5 linked regions of the Danio rerio genome follow. The protein of the gene in region 1 purifies or fractionates together with the protein of each later gene. This does not show direct contact. Links are inferred from orthologs where the notes say so. Each region holds a gene or a part of one and is shown on either strand. Other genes may lie near its edges.

Region 1 (4,206 bases):
CGATAAATATAAATATCTCAAAATGTTATATTTTATACAGTGAACAACTGATTTCATTTTTTTTTTAAACTTTGTAAAAGTTTGAACTGATCTTAAGGCCGGCTTTCACTGTGCGATTGTTTTTTTATAATCCTAAATGATTGTAGCATGTCAGACTGCTCGAACATGGCTCCCATGCCACACTGTAAGATCTCAGCTGTCATAAAGTCAGACTGAACGACAATGAAAATGCACCAAACATGAAAGAAAATGCCCCCGGAGTTTGACGTCATCCACCCGTGACACTTTCACTATCCCACTATCCCCGCAATCTGTAGCTGCAATTTTGCACACGGCGTGTCTCAATAATAAAACCAGAATGAAAAAGACTCTTTGACATTTTCACATGGTCATTTGAATTGTTGCATAGATTGTGACATCAAATTCTGAGGTCCTATTGGTTCTCAGATTGCAGCTGTTGTCACAAAAAAAATCTGATCGCAACGGGCTTTAAGCATCTGTCACTGAACATGTCAAACCAACGATCAAAGATCACGAATTTCAAGAATCTTTTAGGATTTCCCATCGTCTCAGATGACAAAATTGTGGCTGAAATCTTAGTGTGAGCAGGGCTTTATGAACTGAATAGTCTATACTCAAAACAAAAAAGCAATAATTTCAAAATTGTAAGGTGATTATATAGACCAGGGATGTCCAAACTTGGTCCTGGAGAGCCGGTGTCCAGCTAAGTTTAGCTTAACTTGCTAAAACACACCTGCCAGGAAGTTTCTAGTATATCTAGTAAGAGCTTGATTAGCTGGTTCAGGTGTGTTTGATTTGGGTTGGAGCTAAACCCTAAAGGACACCAGCCCTCTAGGACCGAGTGTGGACAACCCTACTATAGGCCTAAATTTATGATTTCACATAAATAAGCATTCCAAAACTTAATGGTTTCCCTTTCATTGCTTAGAAAATTAACATCCAACTAGACCGTTGCATAAAAACAATAGGTTAAATAACAAAATCAAACCGAATACAATCTTACATCAACAACGAATGGCAAGCAACGCGTTGATAATAACAAATAATCATATTAGATTACAAACAACCCAACGAGTTGCTTAGCATGTGTGCATCGCTGCTATTATATTTACACATTTAATACTTTGCCTGAGGCGATTTAAACCAAAATACACAATGATACTCTATCAAACATATCTGATAAGGGATATGGTTACTTACAGAGTTATTTGCGCACAGCAATACCACACAAAGAAAGGATGGATGAATAAACAATGTGAGATAAGCTACGTTATAGTGCACTGGACACGTCTGAACAAGGTCGACCAACGCATGCGCAAGGCAGGCAGGTCTGTACAATTACGTAATCTGTCGGCTTTAAGATATTGGCCTAATTTTGATTTCGGACCAATAACAAAATAAAATTTATCAGCAATAAAGATATGGCCGCCGATATATTGTGCATCCCTAGTTAAATTACTTATATCAATGTATTTATTATAATATTATTTATTTTTTAACAAATAAAACCACATCAATCTATGCAATCTAGCAGGTAGGTTGAAAAACTCACGGTAAGTTGTCCAGCTACTCCGAAATCAGCTAGTTTAGCATGACCTTCAGTGTTGAGGAGAATATTCCCGGCTTTGATGTCCCTGTGGATTTTCCTCATAAAATGGAGATATTCCAGACCTTTCAGTGTGGATTTGAGGACCGTGGCAATCTCATCCTCAGTAAGCTAGTCAAGCAAATAAAAGTCTCTGTTATGAAGCTCTATTGATACATCAATATCTCTTAGATATAATAATCTAACTTAAATTACACTGATGATGCTATATAGTGCATTCATAGTATTTTTATTCACCGTTTTGTTGCGCAGTCTAATAATATCAGACACAGATCCAGCACCACAGTACTCCATCACAATCCACAGATCTGTGTTTTTGAAATAGCTGCCATAGTACTTCACCACATATGGGCTGTTAAAACACAATGAGGAATGAAAATGTTGTTACGTTCTTCACACACATCCAAATTTACATTAATAATAAATATATAAACTAAGTATGTTGTTTTACCTGTCACATTGCTGCATTATGGAGATCTCCTTGATGATCTCTTGCAGGTCTGATTCGACAGGAACCTGTTTAATGGCCACAACTTGGCCTGATTCCTTGTGAATGGCTTTAAAAACACTTCCATATGATCTGAAGCAAAGTGCATTTGAAATGTAGAAGTGTCAAACAAAACATAAGCATTCATATTCACTACCTATGTTGACAAATATTATGCTACCCACCCTTCTCCAAGCTTTTCAAGAACATCAAATACTTCCTCTGGCTGCTTGGTAAGACTGTCTTCACTGAGTTTCTTCAGCTTACTGTTGATCAAAACAGTCGAAACGTTACTTTATTAAATGCATAAAACATCATTGGATCCCACACTAGCAGTTATAACGTAAAACTAGAATCTACAATATAACAAAACTGCATGAAGTCAGACTGCGTTGAAGTATTGATCATGTAGTTATAAATACGAACATCTAAATATAAACCAAACGATCTTTTATAGTTCGGTCGGCGATCTGAAGTGTCAGTTTCGTTGCTCAGATGAGGCCTGTAAATATTAGCTTAGCTGTTAACTGGTTAGCCGAGATAGTGACTTACTTTTTGGGCACCGAATGCTCCATTCTTGTTATTCAGATAAAAATATAATTTGCGTAAAAATGTAAAAGTTGTTTGCTCAAACCCTAAGGGAAAAAGCAATAACGCATGTTTTGTTTGGAGTTTAAGGAAGCACTGCTATGTCTTTCCGTGCCGCTGCTAACAACGATGTGAAGCCAGCTGACGTGTGTAATTTTCCATGAAAAACGACTCGTCAAAGTAAAAGTCCTACAAACGTAATATTTTACAGTATGAGATACTACAATTTTCACTCGTTTGACGACGAGCTTGCAAGTTGCGTGTATCTTTGAACGGAGTTTGTTTGTTTTGTTTATTTTAAGAACTATAAAAAATACGAACAAACTATCTGAGAAATACTTGCATACATTCTCTCAGTTTTATCCTCTTAATATTATCTTCTTTTTTTATTGACAAGCAGACATCGGCCTGTATAAGATTCTGACGGTATGATAACCTTGGATGAAAATATTATGGTTACACGGTACCACTGCTCTAAAATATATTCTTTTTAAAGAGCCCATATTATGGGTTTTTGAAAATTCCCCTCCATGTATTGTGTAACACAGCTCTAAGTGAAGTGAAGTATCCAGCTAAGGCTTAAATCTGTTAGTGTACAGTGTTTAAAACGGTTGATTCATCTATAAAAGAGTCGACTCATAGTGCTTCAAACGAGTCGCCTTGATACCGATTCATTAGGTGTTTCGCCATGACGTACGAACGAAACCAAGTTATTCACGTGCACGCGCAAACCCGGGAGATTTCAAACCTGAGGCCCCGCCCTCTGACGCAGAAACCCAGACACACACACAAACACACACCCACAAACACACACACACACAAACATGCCGGTCGATTGAAGTCACACTGCAGATGGATATATTGAGTCTCTACCCAAACATAAAACCTCAGCATTATAACCAAGCAGTTGGAAACTACTGGAAACTTCTGGAAGCTACATGCTACAAAGAATACTTCATCAGCGTTTGTTAAAGGAAGGATCAGTAAAGAGTGACTTATTGATGGACGTCAGGATTTTTCTTCCTCCATTTCTCAAGTGTAAGTACGTGCGATTAAAGTTGCCTCGTTGACTCTAGCTTGCAAATGTATTTAGTTGTGATTTGTTACTTGTAACCGCGTGTACTGTATCAGGTTAACTGGCTATATTCTCTTATCGCGTGCAAAGTCACGTTAAAAACGCGACGCGTGCTGCGTTAACGGAGCTCCGTGGACGAGGAGTAGTGTGTGTGTCTGTGTGTGCGTGTGCTGTCGTCCGGAGGTGTGTGTGTGTGTTTGTGTGTGTGTGTGTGCGTGTGTGTGCGCGCGCGTTGTCGTTCGGAGCAGGGTTAAGTGCGTGTGTGTGTTTGTGCAATATGTGTGTGTGTGTGTGTCTGTGAAAAGAGCAGAGTGAGAAGCTAGGAGATCTCCTCAACTGCTTTTGGAGTTTTTGCTCAATAAAATAGTCAGTCGTTTGTATTTTCAAGTCCATAGTCTGTATTTACATTGACCCACTGGCAGCTAAACT
Region 2 (3,517 bases), on another chromosome or scaffold:
TGTGATTATGCTTACAATGTTTTCATGTATTTGCATCTCCTCACACAGGGATCCGTGCATGGGATGTAGACCTGACAGTGTGTAACTTGGATGAGCAGCTGAAGCTTTTTATTTCCCAACATTCTTATTATGAATCCAAGGATATAAGAGGTACTTTGTTTTTATTGACTGAAAAACATGAGCCTCAGAGATAGGCTACACTTTTAAAGGACATTACTGGGAATCTTTTCTAGCTCATTTTGAGCGAATGATATGTGTGTGGGATGCAATCTTATGAATTAACAAAGAAGCAACTGTGTAGTTCGGCCCCAGTACAGCCCTATATACAGTATCTTTGCTATATAATACATTATTATATAATTAATAATGAAATCCTATTTTCAATGTGTGTGAGTCAGGTAAACTCACTTAACTATTGCCAGAACTTTAAAAAAAACAAGATTATTTTAGATTTCGATTTTTTTATTTCAATTCAGAAATTTGAAAAAAGACTGGTCAAGTTGGCGGTTCATTCTGCCGTGGCAACCCCTGATTATTAAAGGGACTAAGCTGAAAAGAAAATAAATGAATTATAAATATTCATTTAGTGGTTCTGTTGCCTCCCAGCAAGAAAGATGCTGGGTAATTCCCATCTGGGCTAGTTGGCATTTCTGTTTGCATGTTCTGTTCACCTGGGTTTCCTTCAGGTGCTCCGGTTTCCCCCACAGTCCAAAAATATGCAGTATAAGTGAATTAAATAAACTTAATTGGCTGTAGTGCATCTGTGTGTGTGTGTGTGTGTGTGAGAGAGAGAGAGAGTGTGTATGGGTGTTTCCCAGTACTGGGTTGCAGCTGGAAGGGCATCCGCTGTGTACAACATATAGAATAGTTGGTGGTTCATTTTGCTGTGGCGACTTTTGAAATAGAGATTATATAGAGAATAAAGCCGAAGGAATATGAATGGATAATCATTTCGATGATCTTTTTTCTTCTGCTTTTGATAAATTTGCAACACAGACTGAGGCGACAGTCTGAACATTGACCACAACAATCTAGCACCACCAAATGTTTAAAGTTGCTTTTGCTTCTTGGAATACAACATTCTTTTTATTAGAAGCTCTTGAAATGAAAATTTTCCATTGATTACAAATGAAAAGCTAACTTTCTTTTTATTACTTGATCTAAGAATATGGTCTCCATTTTATTTCGTATACAGTTGAAGTCAGAATTATTAGCCCCCCCTAAATAATTTTTTTCCCTAATTTCTGTTTAACAGAGAGAAGATTTTTTTTTTCAACACATTTCTAACCATAATAGTTTTAATAACTCTTTTCTAATAACTGATTTTTTTTTTTTATCTTTGCCATGAAGACAGTAAATATTATTTAGCTAGATATTTTTCAAGACACTTCTATACAGCTTAAAGTGACATTTAAAGGCTTAACTAGATAAATTAGGTTAACTAGGCAGGTTAGGGTAATTAGTCAAGTTATTGTATAATGATGGTTTGTTCTGTAAACAGTCGAATAATATATACCTTAAAGGGGCTAATAATTTTGACCTTAAATTATATATATATATATATATATTTTTTTTTTTAGTTAAAAACTACTTTTATTCTAGCCAAAATAAAATAAATAAGACTTTTTCCAGAAGAAGAAATATTATTAGACATACTGTGATAATAATTCTGACTTCAACTATATATGTATTAAATAAGGCGACAACATAAAACTCTTCAAAAATACCAATTTATTATATTAAAAAAGCTAACACAAAGCACACTGTCTGATGAAGAGCCGGTGTGCTCGAAACATTACATGCTTTGTGTTAGCCTTGTTAATTTAATAAATTGGTATTTTTGGAGCTTTTATGTTGTCGCCTTGTTAAATATATTTTTGCACGTTTTGATGTTTGGCCGAGCACCCATTTAGAACGATGTGTGTGATTTCCGTGCATTTTTTAATATTTTGTTTACACAGCACTCAGCATATATAAGTACACCCCTCACAAATCTCTCTTTTAAATTAATATTTATATTAAAAAGCTATACAATATTATATGTGTGCATATATATATATATATATATATATATATATATATATATATATATATATATATATATATATATATATATATATATATATATTTATATATATTAGTCAGTACTGAAGCCAAATCTGGAGCTAATCGAACAAAATAACTTACAATAATGGTACAAAAACTAGCACAGCCAAATGTATATGTTAGAGAAAAATATTAAATACAAATTTAAAATGAGGAAAAAATAACAGAAGCAAAAAATTTAAAAAATTTGTTGAAATTTTGTAGGTTGTAATTTTTTTTGCTAATAATAATATTCATTTTCAAAATGGGGTGTGCTCAATTATGCTGAGCACTGTATATGAAATGCACTATTGTGTTCTCTTTGCTCTATCGGGAGGGCAATCATTAATTTGATATTTTTCTAGTTAAATAGGGTATATCCAAACTGAGTGCAAGTAAACTGATTGGCAGCTCCTGTTATTCAAAGAATGTTGTATTAGGTTGGCGTGTTGGTCCTAATTTGCTATTCTAGAGCACAGAGCAGAAAGGCAGGAAGGAAATGCTTTCTACCAATTGTTCAGACTTTGGCTGCTGTTGGAAAAACAGCAGTGAAACACTTTTGTTGCAGCGGTTTTGAAAATAATTTTGCTGACAAATCAGACAGATGTACGCCGAACTTATACTCAGGAAATCTCACTTTTTAAAATTTGCAATACTTGGTTCTATATTTAAGATTAGACTGGCAGCATTAAAACAATGTTATGTGACTCATCATTTAAAAGACATTTCAGCTAAGTCAAGTCTTTTCATTCTTGTCCAGTAAAGGGCCACATGTTTCCACTTTTAAGTTTAGTGGAGTTAGAATTCAAAGTATTAATTCGGATTTGCATGACATCTTACATATTCTGGTTAATTTTTTTATTGACCCATTTAGTCTGTCTCCATTTTCATTACAGGTCAGAAGACATTTCATTTCAGTTCAAATGTTCTGGACATTAAAGTTGTAGTGAATCCATCTGAAGGGGTTCTCTACTCTGAGGTGTGTGACACCTAAATTAGTCTCTTCTTCATATTTTAAAATGTATTGCATTAAAAAACACGCAATATAATAATATGCATAAAGAATTCTAATATACACATTTTTAAAAATAAAATATATATTTTGAACTATAATTACAGGTTCACAGCTTGATATCATCCATACCTCGCCACAAATTGCTGGTGCTGACAGGACAGTCTCTTGAAGACTCTGGAGATCTGGTCTTGCACACGGGGCAATTCACGCCAAATGATTTCACCCAGATCTTTTCAGATGAAGAGGTTTGTTGGACTGAAAAGTGCAAAATGTAATGAATAATGTATACATAATGTGTAAAATACAGCAACATTTTAATGGGTTGTCCTCATATTTGAAAATCTAACCTATCTTTGAATATATAATTTTTCAAATGATTCTGTTATGCAGAAATATTCTAGCCATTTTCTGTTTTAA
Region 3 (3,517 bases), on another chromosome or scaffold:
GAAATGGTGGAAGCTGACACATGATAATCATGGCCCTCAGTGGCATCACTCTTGGAGTGGTCTAATTCAGGAACATCTTGAAGAGGTGAAAGTTTCTTTCGTTCATGTTCTGTAGTTATACCGTACCTGACAAAATCTTGGGAAGGAGAATCGCTTTCATCATTAGTTGTCTCATCACTCATTACATCTCTTGGAGTTGACATTTCATCCATAGGCGTTGGGACACTTGAGATCTCAATCGTAGACTGAGTGTGTCCAGATGTTGTGTATTCTTCTGGAGGCTCATCTCGGTTTTCATCATCAGAGGCAGCCTCACTTTCTGAACCTGCAGGTAGGGTTTCATCATGAACTGAATCAGCAGGAGACAAAGGTGCAGTGAGCTTTGGTGGTGTGGTTACATCAAAACATTGCAACTTTGTTTCTTTGTCAAGATATTCTGGTTCATCGGTACCATAATTTGCCCCTTCCTTGGTTTCAAGCTCTGCCTGTTCATCTTTTAATGTAGATATTGCTCTGTCCTGCTCATCCACTTCCTCTGTCTCTCCCTTTTCTTCATAGTCCCCTAACTCAGAGGACTCTTCCAACCCTGTCCCTTCATCTTCAAACTTTTCACTGGTACCGTTGCTTTTCTGATTGGGTTCTAGTTCCCCTGGAGTACCTCCACATTCCTCCTCAGCTTCAGTGGTTGCTATTCCTTCATCCAGGGACTCTGCTGCTTCTGGAGACTCTTTGCAATGAGTTATTTCTTCATGTCTAATCACTTCTTCTTGATTAGAATCGTCTATTTTGGTCTGAGAAAGGACCTCATCATCTTCAGCCATCTCTTCTGCTTTCAAAGCCTCAAAATCTTTAGTGAGGTCCTCTGGAGAAGACATAAGTGATCTCTCTGCCTCAAGTACATCTGTTGCACTGTCTTCCACGGTGGGCTCTTCAACCGTGGCTCCTGAGACGGAAGGTGCTGCCACTGATTCTCCTGCATCTTTTTTGGTGGGCTTGGACTTGGCCTTGTCTTTAGATCTGGCAGGGCTACCAGGGCTCTTCCCACGTGCTGCAACCTTTGGTTTAGGTGCAGGTTTTTTCACATCAGGTGTGCTAGGGGCATTCTTTTTCAAGCTACCAGTTTTCCTTAAATCTTTCATTGGCTCTTTTGAATCTTTTAGGGATTCTTTCTTTTCATCCTTTCTGCTCTCCTTTAATAGGGAGTCTTTCCTGACGTCTCGTCTTTTAATTTCTTTTTTCACTTCTTCTTTCTTTACCTTGTCTTCTTTTTTAACCTTGTCTTCTTTCTTGGGTACGTTTTTTTCAGTTTTAACAGTCTCAGTCTTTTCCACAGATTTTTTGGATTCCTTCTTTATAGTTTTTGGTTTAATTTCAACTTTCTTTTTCTCTGGAGTGTCAGTTTTGTGTGTTTGCTCAACCTTGCTTTTAATGTCCTTTTCCCCTGCTTTCACTTTTTTCACAAGTGTTTTTTCCTTTTTCTCTATTTTTTGTGTTGGCTCCTGTTTTTCTGCTGGTTCAGTTTTACTTACAGTTTTTAGTTTTTCAGTGGTTTCTTCCCTGGATTCTTTGTGGAGATTTTTGGTAGGGGATGGTTTTGATGTGGACTTGAGACTCTCTTTACTGTCTGTCTTATGTTTCATCTTTGCTTGTTTCAGTGTCGGGGCTAAGTTTAAATTGAGCTCATTTTGTGTGATCACAGGATATTTGAGGAAGTCTAAGTGTTTAAGTTTTTCTAGGCCTTCTAGAATATGATTCTGAGTAGAATTGCCTGGAAAAAGGACGCGGACAATCTTTTCTGATGGGTTAGCAGGATGCCACACAATCAGCGATGAGATAGAGGACAAATATGACACGGGGAGTTCTGATTCTTTTCCATTTGGTAACAAGATGGTCGCTTTGTCTTTATCACTACCAGACCATTCTTTCAGAAAAAACTGCAACTCCTTACTGTTCTTAGCTGGGTTAAGAACATACATTTCAAGCTTTCCGACCCCCATTTTCTGGAATAGTATAATTGGTTCTACTGTATTACCTATACTCCTATGCAGAGGTTCAGGTTTTAGAGACAACTTGTTTAAGTACTGCAGTGTGAAGGCTGCCTCCTCTGCATTTCTTCTAATTCTGTAGTTGGGTTCAAGATTTTCCAGGTTCTGAGGCATGTTGGCAAACATAACACCAATATCAGGTGAGATCATATTCTTTGTCCAGTCACTGTTAGCTGTAGACCCCTGTGACTGCTCCTCTTCTAGTTCAGCTATTTTGCGCTGTAGCATACTATTGATACCTGGAAGGTTATCATCTCCAATGTGTGTAAGGAGAACAGAATCTACTCTGTCCAAATGTCGTACCAGCTTCCAAAAGCATGACTTTCTATCAGATCCACCATTAATTAGCATGTTGAAACCATTAACTGCAAACAATGCAGAGTCACCCCGTCCACCAGGGAATATATAGCAGCATGGTTTTGATAATTTTAGAAACCCCCCTGAGGTTGGGGGCTCCAGCATGTCAAATGGGGATGAGATTTCTACAGATTCTGACAGATATTCTGTAAATTCAGAAAGACCTTCCATTTCTGGAAGGATGGTTGGGGAGTTTAGCTTCATGTAGATGAAATCCTGTAAGTTGTGTTTGTCCAGGTTTGAATTTTTCCAGTCACCATGCTCAGGACAAAAAAGGGTTAAACTGGCTTTGTTGGCTGGATGTACGGTGCTAAGAAGCTCTCCAATCTGTAAGTCAAATTAGAAATATGTTACTTACTTAATTTGACCCTGGACCACAAAACTAGCCAGTAATGTAATTTTTAAAATTGGGATTTATACATCAACTGAAAGGTGAATAAATAAGCTTTCCATTAATTTATGGTTTAATAGGATTTAACAATATTTGGGCAAAATACAACTGTTTGAAATATGTTTAAAATCTAAATACAAAGAAAATAGCTTTGTTGTCTACACAAAGTGCATTGCAATACACATTACACATAACCTGCCAAAAATTGCCACAACAACGTTTACACAAAAATTGCCAATATTATAGCCAAAAATATAGCCATGCAACATAAAATCAGCTTTGTTGTCCAGGGTCACATTGTCAGGTTACAGTGTAAAGTGCATGTTTTCACCAAGAAAAACAGTCACTTACCTCTTGATCTGTAAAAATGTCAATGAAACTGGAGAGAGAAAAGGAGCCTGATTGAAGAATCAGCTCGCCTGTATTTTCAAAGCACTGTCCTGCCAGGACAAGCAGCTTATGATGGGCTGTGTCTGAGACCATTAGCCGTACCTAGGTGTAAACAGAGTTTATACTATTTATGTACTACAAGAAACATTTGCAGATTATTTTTAGGTATAACATGTAAGTGCAATATCTACAAAAAATGAATGATGTTACCAAAATGTTACCAATTTGATGTTACCAAAAAGATGAAATCATACTCCTAAAAACCTGGCCAACAAAAGTATGCCTGTTTCTATGAGCTCAGCTAAACTTTTTGCAGTTATCTGTGACTTTAACT
Region 4 (4,204 bases), on another chromosome or scaffold:
TATTTACTATATAACACAGGGGTGTCAATTTCAGTTCCTGGAGGGACGTTGACCTGCAGTCTAGTTCCAAACCTGCTTCAACACTCTTACCTGTGTGTTTCAAACAAGCCTAAAGAATTCAATTAGTTTCATCAGGTGTGTTTAATTAGGGTTGCACTAAACTGTGCAGAGCTGCGGCCCTCAAGGAACTGAGTTTGACACCTGTGATCTAATGCAGTGTTTCTCAACCACATTACTGGAGGACCACCAGCTCTGCACATGTTCCTAGACTGTCTCTTAATTCCTAGAACGCTGAGAACAGAGAACGCATCCTGTGAGAAATGAGATGCTGTGTTCTTCCCTGGGTCTTCCTGATGGTGACGTGACCTTCACATGTTTTTAATGGAATATGGTTTAAACATTACAGCATTCCTACAACAACGATTTATTGTTTTCCCCCATACATAATATATACCATGCATAAAAAAAACGTACAAATATATGCTTCACAATACAAATAAAACTAATTTTAACACGAATTTCAACAAGTAAACACCCTTTATGTGCTTATGCCATTATTATGATTTACATGGTAATGTTTAAATTCACCGTCTCATTTAGGGAAACTCCTGAAGTAAATAAGTTACATCTCTAAACTTTAATAATAAATCTAAATAAAATGCTGCGCTTCCCACCTCCTTCATACAGCCACAACGACTTCTAGGACTTCTCAAGCAAGTTTTGTGCTCAAGTCTGCATCGATGACTCTACGATATCAAGAACACATCTGGCAACTTTCACGCGTCCTCCGTTCTTGCCGTCTTGAGTTTTGGAACTGAACATAGGCAGTTAATGACGACATTACAGAAGAACACGAGGACGCAGGATCGCTGAAAAACGCCTATTGAGAAACACCCCATGTTTCCTTAACCAAACACACCTGATTTAGATCATCAGCAGAGACTGAAAGACCTGTAATGAATGTAACAGATAAAGGAGACATCCAAAATATGCAGTGTTGGTGGTCCTACAGGAACGTGGTTGAGAAACACTGATCTAATGCAGTGGTATATTTAGCCATAAATTCCATCTTAATCTACTTTTGGGTGGGGATATTATCTATATAATCCTAGTACAGACAATTGTGACAACATTGACAGATAGATACAAAGAAAATCTTAATAATTCAAGAAAGATGGAGGTGGATATGTCAAACACTGAAAAAAATATTCATTGGACTTACTAACTTTTTTGAGGCAAGTGGTTGCAAACAATTTATATAGACTGAATTTAAACAAACTAAATGTAGTAACGTTTATTTGTTTAAATTCAGCTCATGCTAATTTTTGCAACCACTTACCTTAAAAAAAATAAGTACATCTAATGAATAATGTTTATAGTTAACATCCAATCTATTGGTGAAACATCAGACTTACCTTGCCTGTCTTGTGGTCGAACCATACCAGAGCGTGATTCCTCGACAACACTTTGCAGTCGAAGGTGGCGTTGTTTTGGGCAGGGCGACACCGGGCCACGGAGCGCCCGATCTTGACCGGCTCATCCAGGTAAACATGGCGTTCCTGAAACGGGTGTGAATTCGGGCGGCAGGAGAACACGGCCAGCGCTGAAGGCATTGAGGATGGCTTGGGAGTGTTACTCCAACCAGAGACGAAAGACAGGGTTTCTTGATCCAGACTGACCTGTTGCTCCAATTCTTCCTAATGAATGACCAGCAGACCAACGCACATAGTAATACGAAAAAAATTCCAACTCTACAAAAAGACCCCTGCTAAACCGACTACATAACGTCAACAAGACTGTATATTTATACACTATGTAGATGACTTCTTGCCCCCTTGCGAGACCCCCATGTTGCCGAACCAAACCCAATACAGCTGCCCAATTCCATACAAATCTGGGTGTCCAGATGACAGTCCACAATTCGAGCTGTTATACTTCGTTCCCAACACAATTCATCCTCGTCCCCCTTTACAAGCATAGGCCTGGCCAGTAAACAACCCAGCAACTAGTACACCAATAACCTGTTGAATTGGTCAACCTTTACTCCTAAAAAAAAAAAAGAAGTATTACTGTCAAGTTGACATGCGTGTCTATATTTAGAGGGAATGACTGCTAGGCACGAAATGCACTTGTGAAAATGTTAAACCGTAATGAAGATTAATAATAATGTGAGTGGGTTTGGCTGAAGTATGCAGAGCAGACCATCAAGCCACCACTCCCCAAGACAGAGTAATTAATATTGAAAAATACCTCAAATGCCTACTTAAACAGACTTCAAATGCAAGTATTTAGCTGTCAGGATTGTATACAAGAGCACAGCTCGCGCGGAGGGTGTTTTCTTGCGCACGAGAGCGTTAGCTGGCTAACTTCATATTAGCTTGTTAGCTTCGCTGAGGTAACACTGGCCTTCTACTTTCACCTTATCGAGCCGTCCAAGCTGGAAGAGACTTTATAAATAACCCCGAGCTGATTTATCCCCGAAAACCAGCTATTTGTTCGGTCTGTGGAACTTTCATGCGCGGAGAATTTGCGTAAATCCAGTATTAGCTCGCGAGCTCGGTAACTAGCTTAGCCTGCTGAGAGACACAAAAATTTCCCCAGAAAAGAAAGTCATACACGAATAAAGTCCATGACACGGTCCCGTGTTAAGCCATGGAGGTCTCCGCTTTTCGGAACGCTGAAATCGGGAGGGAAATCGTTGTGTGCGACGGGATAATTGGAAGTAAGTCGTCCTCTTGAAGAGATATACACACACATACACACCGGCCACAAACCGCCGCGGGGCTCGCGCACCACCGAGATATGGGGCGGGGCTTTGCGGTGACGCGAAAATGTAGGCGGATCCGCGTTTCCAGAGAAAAAGGATGACGTTTTTCATGCGGATTGAAAATAATGTTTGTTTGTTCATTTTTCGGATGCTATTTTTTTCTTTTGTAATAGCATTTCATTTACAATCAACAAGCAAGACAACAACAGGTAAAACAATTTGTTGAACAGACAAAAAAAGTATGGAGCCAGTCAGATCAGTCTCAAAAATAATACATGTACATAATAAAACTCCTCCATGCACAGCACAATTCACATTTACAACATCCAGTTTGTAAATTCAAAACACAACTTGTAAATACAACCAACAATTTGTAAATTCACAAGCAAAAATCATAAATACTTTCACCAAATTAATTAGATTTGTGTATTTTTGTATAGTGTTTTCAATTTACGAATTGGATTTGTGTATTTATGAATCACATTTTAAATTTACAAATTGAATTTGAGTAATTATAAATTGCATGTAAACTTATGAATTGGATTGAGTATTTTTGAATCGCGATTTGTATTTACGAATCTGATTTGTGTAAATGAATCGCATTTTCAGTTTATGAATTGGATTTGTGTATTTATGAATCGTGTTTTGAATTTACGAATTGGATTTGTGTATTTATGAATCATATTTTAAATTGACTAATTAGATTTGTGTATTTATGAACCACGTTTTGAATTTACCAATTGTATTTGTGTATTTATGAATCACGTTTTGAGTTGACGAATTGGATTTATGTATTTATGAATCACGTTTTGAATTTACGAATTGAATTTGTGTATGTATGAATCGCGTTTTGAATTGACGAATTGGATTTGTGTATTTATGAATCGCGTTTTGAACTCACAAATTAAATTTGTGTATTTATGAATCGCGTTTTGAACTTACGAATTAAATTTGTGTATTTATGAATCACATTTTAAATTTACCAATTGGATTTTTGTATTTATGAATCACGTTTTAAATTTACGAATTGTATTTGTGTATTTATGAATCGCATTTTGAGTTGACGGAATGTATTTGTGTATTTATGAATTACGTTTAGAATTTACGAATTGAATTTGTGTATTTATAAATCGTGTTTTGAATTGACAAGTTAGATTTGTGTATTTATGAGTCGCGTTTTGAATTGACGAATTGGATTTGTGTATTTATAAATCGCGATTTTAATTTATGGATTGGATTTGTGTATTTATGAATCATGTTTTCAATTTACAAGTTGGATTTGTTTATTAATGAATCTCGTTTAGAATTTATGAATTGGATTTTGTAACTGTAACTTGAGTTGTGAATATATGAATTATATTATTTAAATGTAATATTTTTGAGACCAATCTGGCTCTATAAAAAGGGCTCTAACAAATAAACACAACAAAGAACAAC
Region 5 (3,517 bases), on another chromosome or scaffold:
TCTCAAAACAATTAGTACAAACTGCAAAACCTAGTTGATAACCTGCAAAAGTGTATCACTCATTCCATTAGCTCATCCCTCAAAAAAGGTATTCCTGTCAATGAAAGTGTCAGTGTCATAAAAGTCCTGACACTATTGTTTATAAACAAGTCATAGTCATATGACTTTGTCATATTTTCATTATGACAGTTTACTCTGTACAATTTTTCCAATGCAAAAAAAAGTCAGATTTTGGTGACACTTCCTGTTCAAATGCTCAAGACAGCACTTTTTTGCAGTATTATATACTACTTGCCCAGCCTAAGTACAGTAAAGCTACACTACAGTAACTACAGTACTGTAAAACTACAGTAAAGTTAGACATCACTGCATTTAGTGAGGTATCTGAGTACAAGACACTGAACAAGTATGTTTCATATTTTTACTGCATATGCTCATTTCTATTCCAATGTATTCACAACATTGTACCAAAAAATAAATGCACCCTTATTTTCAACAAACATAAACTTCCTTTGGGTAGAGCTGTGCACAACTGTAAACATATTGCAGTGCATATTGGAAATGAAACTATAACATACATAGGTCTGTAAATCATTCATGAAATTGTTCAATTTAGAAAACATTTTCATATATATATATATCAACTTATAGATCAACTTTTTAAATTTTTTTTTTATAAAATTAGATTGAAAGATTCTGACAACTAGTTTAACATTTTGGCAAAGCAGTGACGCAGTAGGTAGTGCTGTCGCCTCACAGCAAGAAGGTTGCTGGGTCGCTGGTTCGAGCCTCAGCTCAGTTGGTGTTTCTGTGTAGAGTTAGCATGTTCTCCCTGCGTTCGCGTGGGTTTCCTCCAGGTGCTCCGGTTTCCCCCACAGTCCAAAGACATGTGGTACAGGTGAATTGGGTAGGCTAAATTGTCCGTAGTGTATGAGTGTGTGTGTGTGGATGTTTCCCAGAGATGGGTTGTGGCTGGAAGGGCATCCGCTGCGTAAAAACTTGCTGGATAAGTTGGCGGTTTATTTCGCTGTGGCGACCCCGTATTAATAAAGGGACTAAACCGACAAGAAAATGAATAAGTTTAACATTTTCGTATGTAATGACTCAAGTAATGAAAGGAGGACTATTAGTTTTACATGCAATGACTTTTTAGCATTCAAGTTTAGTTAATTTTGACTAACATGACATAAGCTAATGATAATGTTATAAACAGAGAGAGTTGTGAAAGCAATTGATGCATGTCCAAAAGCTTTTGCAATTTGCTGGAAGGAATGAGAAACTGCTACTATGATGTGCACAAATGACTAATTGTTTTGAGAAATGCATTAACTGTCAGGCAAATGTAAATAGTGTTGTGAGAAATGCACAAAAGCCACTGAGAAAAACTGTAAGTGTTTGAATCCTATATTTATGTTTTTTAAAGCATGAAAGAGAATTAGTGCTGTTTTAGGCTTTGTTGAAGATTCTGTCTTATGTTTTCTAATTCAATTATGTGTTTTGTGATTCGATCAACTGTGCCATTAGGGGTATGACACGATGGGGAGAATTTGACAACCTTCACAATATTGCTGAACTGGAGGAAGCTGGATCACCTGAAAATCCTACTGAAGGTTCAGTTTCTTTAACATTATTTGATGTTACAGTAGAATTTGGACTATGGTAACACAACTGATGGATCATATATGGTATTTCAGAAAATAAATGAATAAATATTAATTTACTTGAACACTTGTTCTCTTAGTAGAACATTAAAAAGGATATTTAGGCAAAATTGTGATTCTTGGTGAATAACAAAATACATATTCATGCAAAACAAAATTAATACTGTAATAATGTTTCCCTGAGAAGTTATAAAGGAAATCGATCAGTCTGTGTAACAAAGATCACAAAGAAGAAAGCATAACATTTAATCCATAGCTTTTAGTGCATCTATAAGAGTTATGGTTGTTAGGGATGGCCCAAATGGACTTAAAAGATTTATCACAATGTTTTTTGGCATTTGTGATAAGAATATCAATGGCAATATAATTCATATATATATATCCACGAAGAGATCTTTTTATAAAATAGTGGAGAGTTATTCAACCCTGCTTCTGAATGCCCACTGTGGAGTGGAGCTCAGCAATAATCAAACACTAAAGCAGCTAATCAAGATTTTCAGGATCATATAAAATACACATATCAGGTATAAAATAGATGTGCTAAAGCAGTTTAAGGCTCTTATTCATAGTTGAAGTCCCCTGAAATACATGTCAATATTATTTATGTTTCATTTAAACTGGACACAAGAGGACGCCATAGTGTATAATCTACTCATATAGATTATTAAGGATATCAGATAGGCTTCTACTGAGCAAATAGGAGACACATGATAGCAACAGATAAATGAATCAAACGTGAACACAATAAAAAAAAAATCATTGTAGCAATATATGAATTATTTATGTTCTTTAAGCCATCCTAGGTTTTGTATAAGGATAAATTATATTTATAATGCAATCTAATTGACGTCTGCTCACAAAAAAAGACACTCGACTAATGTCATGAAGTTTATTAAGTACTTAAGTCAGTAAATCTGTTAAAAAGGAAAAAATGTATTTCACATGTGCTACTAAAATAAATCACTGCAAATACTAAGTGTATATTTAATTGTAGTTATTACTATTGTTAGTCTATTGTTTCCTGTTGTGAACAAATAATAAAATATCTCCCATCTTGAATGAGTATTAATTCAGTTTTCATCAGTTTCATCATTTCTTTAAAAGTCATGTTCAATATTCTACTGAAGCAATAAAAACATTATAGATGGCCTAAGGATGAGCAAGCTAACATATTTACATTTTTGGGTGAACTATACCTGAAAAACAACTAGTGTACTACTACATTTAATAAATGACAAGTTGTTCTGCATTAAAAAAATTACTTTCATATTTCAACAACACAATCTACACTCTCTTCTAGACTACATCGTATACGAGACCATGACTTTAAGGCCATCGCGGACCATGCAAATCAATGAAGATAGTTCATATCTGATTCGCACCATGAGCGACGCCTCGCTGGTGAAAATGAGGGTGAAAAGTAAGAAGATGATTGAAAGTCAAAAGAACAGAAACCATCGCTTCTCCATCAATGGACACTTCTACAACTATAAGGTCTGTAGTTTAATTGCAATGATCCAAATGTCAAGCTTGGGCCTGTATGCAATCTATGAGTAATACAGTGTTGTTATAAGTTGTTATAAGTTATCATAACACATAAATAATACATGAATACAATATTTTTAAAAAGCAAATGTGTATGCTAAAAATTTGACTTTGAGAGGGTTAGATGCTAAATTCAGAAATGACACTTGTGGTCAATTAGTGAAATGCAGCAAGTAACTTACTGCTTGTTTTGAATGTTTCTTTATGGTGCGTTATTTATAATTTGCAAGCACAATTATGAACATGTCATCTGATGTTTGAATATGTCTGTTATGTACAGTGCAGACAATTTTGCTGACAAAAGTTACAAA

Evidence for each region.
Region 2: the proteins of stk3 (region 1) and map1sb purify together in Homo sapiens (affinity purification with mass spectrometry; 3 studies listed by BioGRID and IntAct, with this or other methods). This does not show direct contact. The link is inferred for Danio rerio from reciprocal best matches to the Homo sapiens genes STK3 and MAP1S.
Region 3: the proteins of stk3 (region 1) and map1b purify together in Homo sapiens (affinity purification with mass spectrometry; 4 studies listed by BioGRID and IntAct, with this or other methods). This does not show direct contact. The link is inferred for Danio rerio from reciprocal best matches to the Homo sapiens genes STK3 and MAP1B.
Region 4: the proteins of stk3 (region 1) and slmapa purify together in Homo sapiens (affinity purification with western blotting; 3 studies listed by BioGRID and IntAct, with this or other methods). This does not show direct contact. The link is inferred for Danio rerio from reciprocal best matches to the Homo sapiens genes STK3 and SLMAP.
Region 5: the proteins of stk3 (region 1) and rassf6 purify together in Homo sapiens (affinity purification with mass spectrometry; 4 studies listed by BioGRID and IntAct, counting the BioPlex papers as one, with this or other methods). This does not show direct contact. The link is inferred for Danio rerio from reciprocal best matches to the Homo sapiens genes STK3 and RASSF6.

What each region holds. Positions count from the first base shown.
Region 1 is NC_133194.1:35,272,657-35,276,862, reverse strand, and holds the start of stk3 (serine/threonine-protein kinase 3), read right to left. Parts: upstream 2,806-4,206; 5' UTR 2,690-2,805; coding exon 2,667-2,689; intron 2,381-2,666; coding exon 2,300-2,380; intron 2,208-2,299; coding exon 2,079-2,207; intron 1,980-2,078; coding exon 1,865-1,979; intron 1,739-1,864; coding exon 1,574-1,738; intron 1-1,573. UniProt on the Homo sapiens protein: Stress-activated, pro-apoptotic kinase which, following caspase-cleavage, enters the nucleus and induces chromatin condensation followed by internucleosomal DNA fragmentation.
Region 2 is NC_133177.1:39,904,909-39,908,425, reverse strand, and holds part of map1sb (microtubule-associated protein 1S), read left to right. Parts: intron 1-48; coding exon 49-150; intron 151-2,981; coding exon 2,982-3,064; intron 3,065-3,204; coding exon 3,205-3,345; intron 3,346-3,517. UniProt on the Homo sapiens protein: Microtubule-associated protein that mediates aggregation of mitochondria resulting in cell death and genomic destruction (MAGD). Plays a role in anchoring the microtubule organizing center to the centrosomes. Binds to DNA. Plays a role in apoptosis.
Region 3 is NC_133180.1:35,902,936-35,906,452, forward strand, and holds part of map1b (microtubule-associated protein 1B), read right to left. Parts: intron 3,286-3,517; coding exon 3,145-3,285; intron 2,730-3,144; coding exon 1-2,729. UniProt on the Homo sapiens protein: Facilitates tyrosination of alpha-tubulin in neuronal microtubules. Phosphorylated MAP1B is required for proper microtubule dynamics and plays a role in the cytoskeletal changes that accompany neuronal differentiation and neurite extension.
Region 4 is NC_133186.1:44,735,264-44,739,467, forward strand, and holds the start of slmapa (sarcolemma associated protein a), read right to left. Parts: upstream 2,805-4,204; 5' UTR 1,614-2,804; coding exon 1,416-1,613; intron 1-1,415. UniProt on the Homo sapiens protein: Associates with the striatin-interacting phosphatase and kinase (STRIPAK) core complex, forming the extended (SIKE1:SLMAP)STRIPAK complex.
Region 5 is NC_133185.1:15,418,883-15,422,399, forward strand, and holds part of rassf6 (ras association domain-containing protein 6), read left to right. Parts: intron 1-1,524; coding exon 1,525-1,610; intron 1,611-2,961; coding exon 2,962-3,155; intron 3,156-3,517.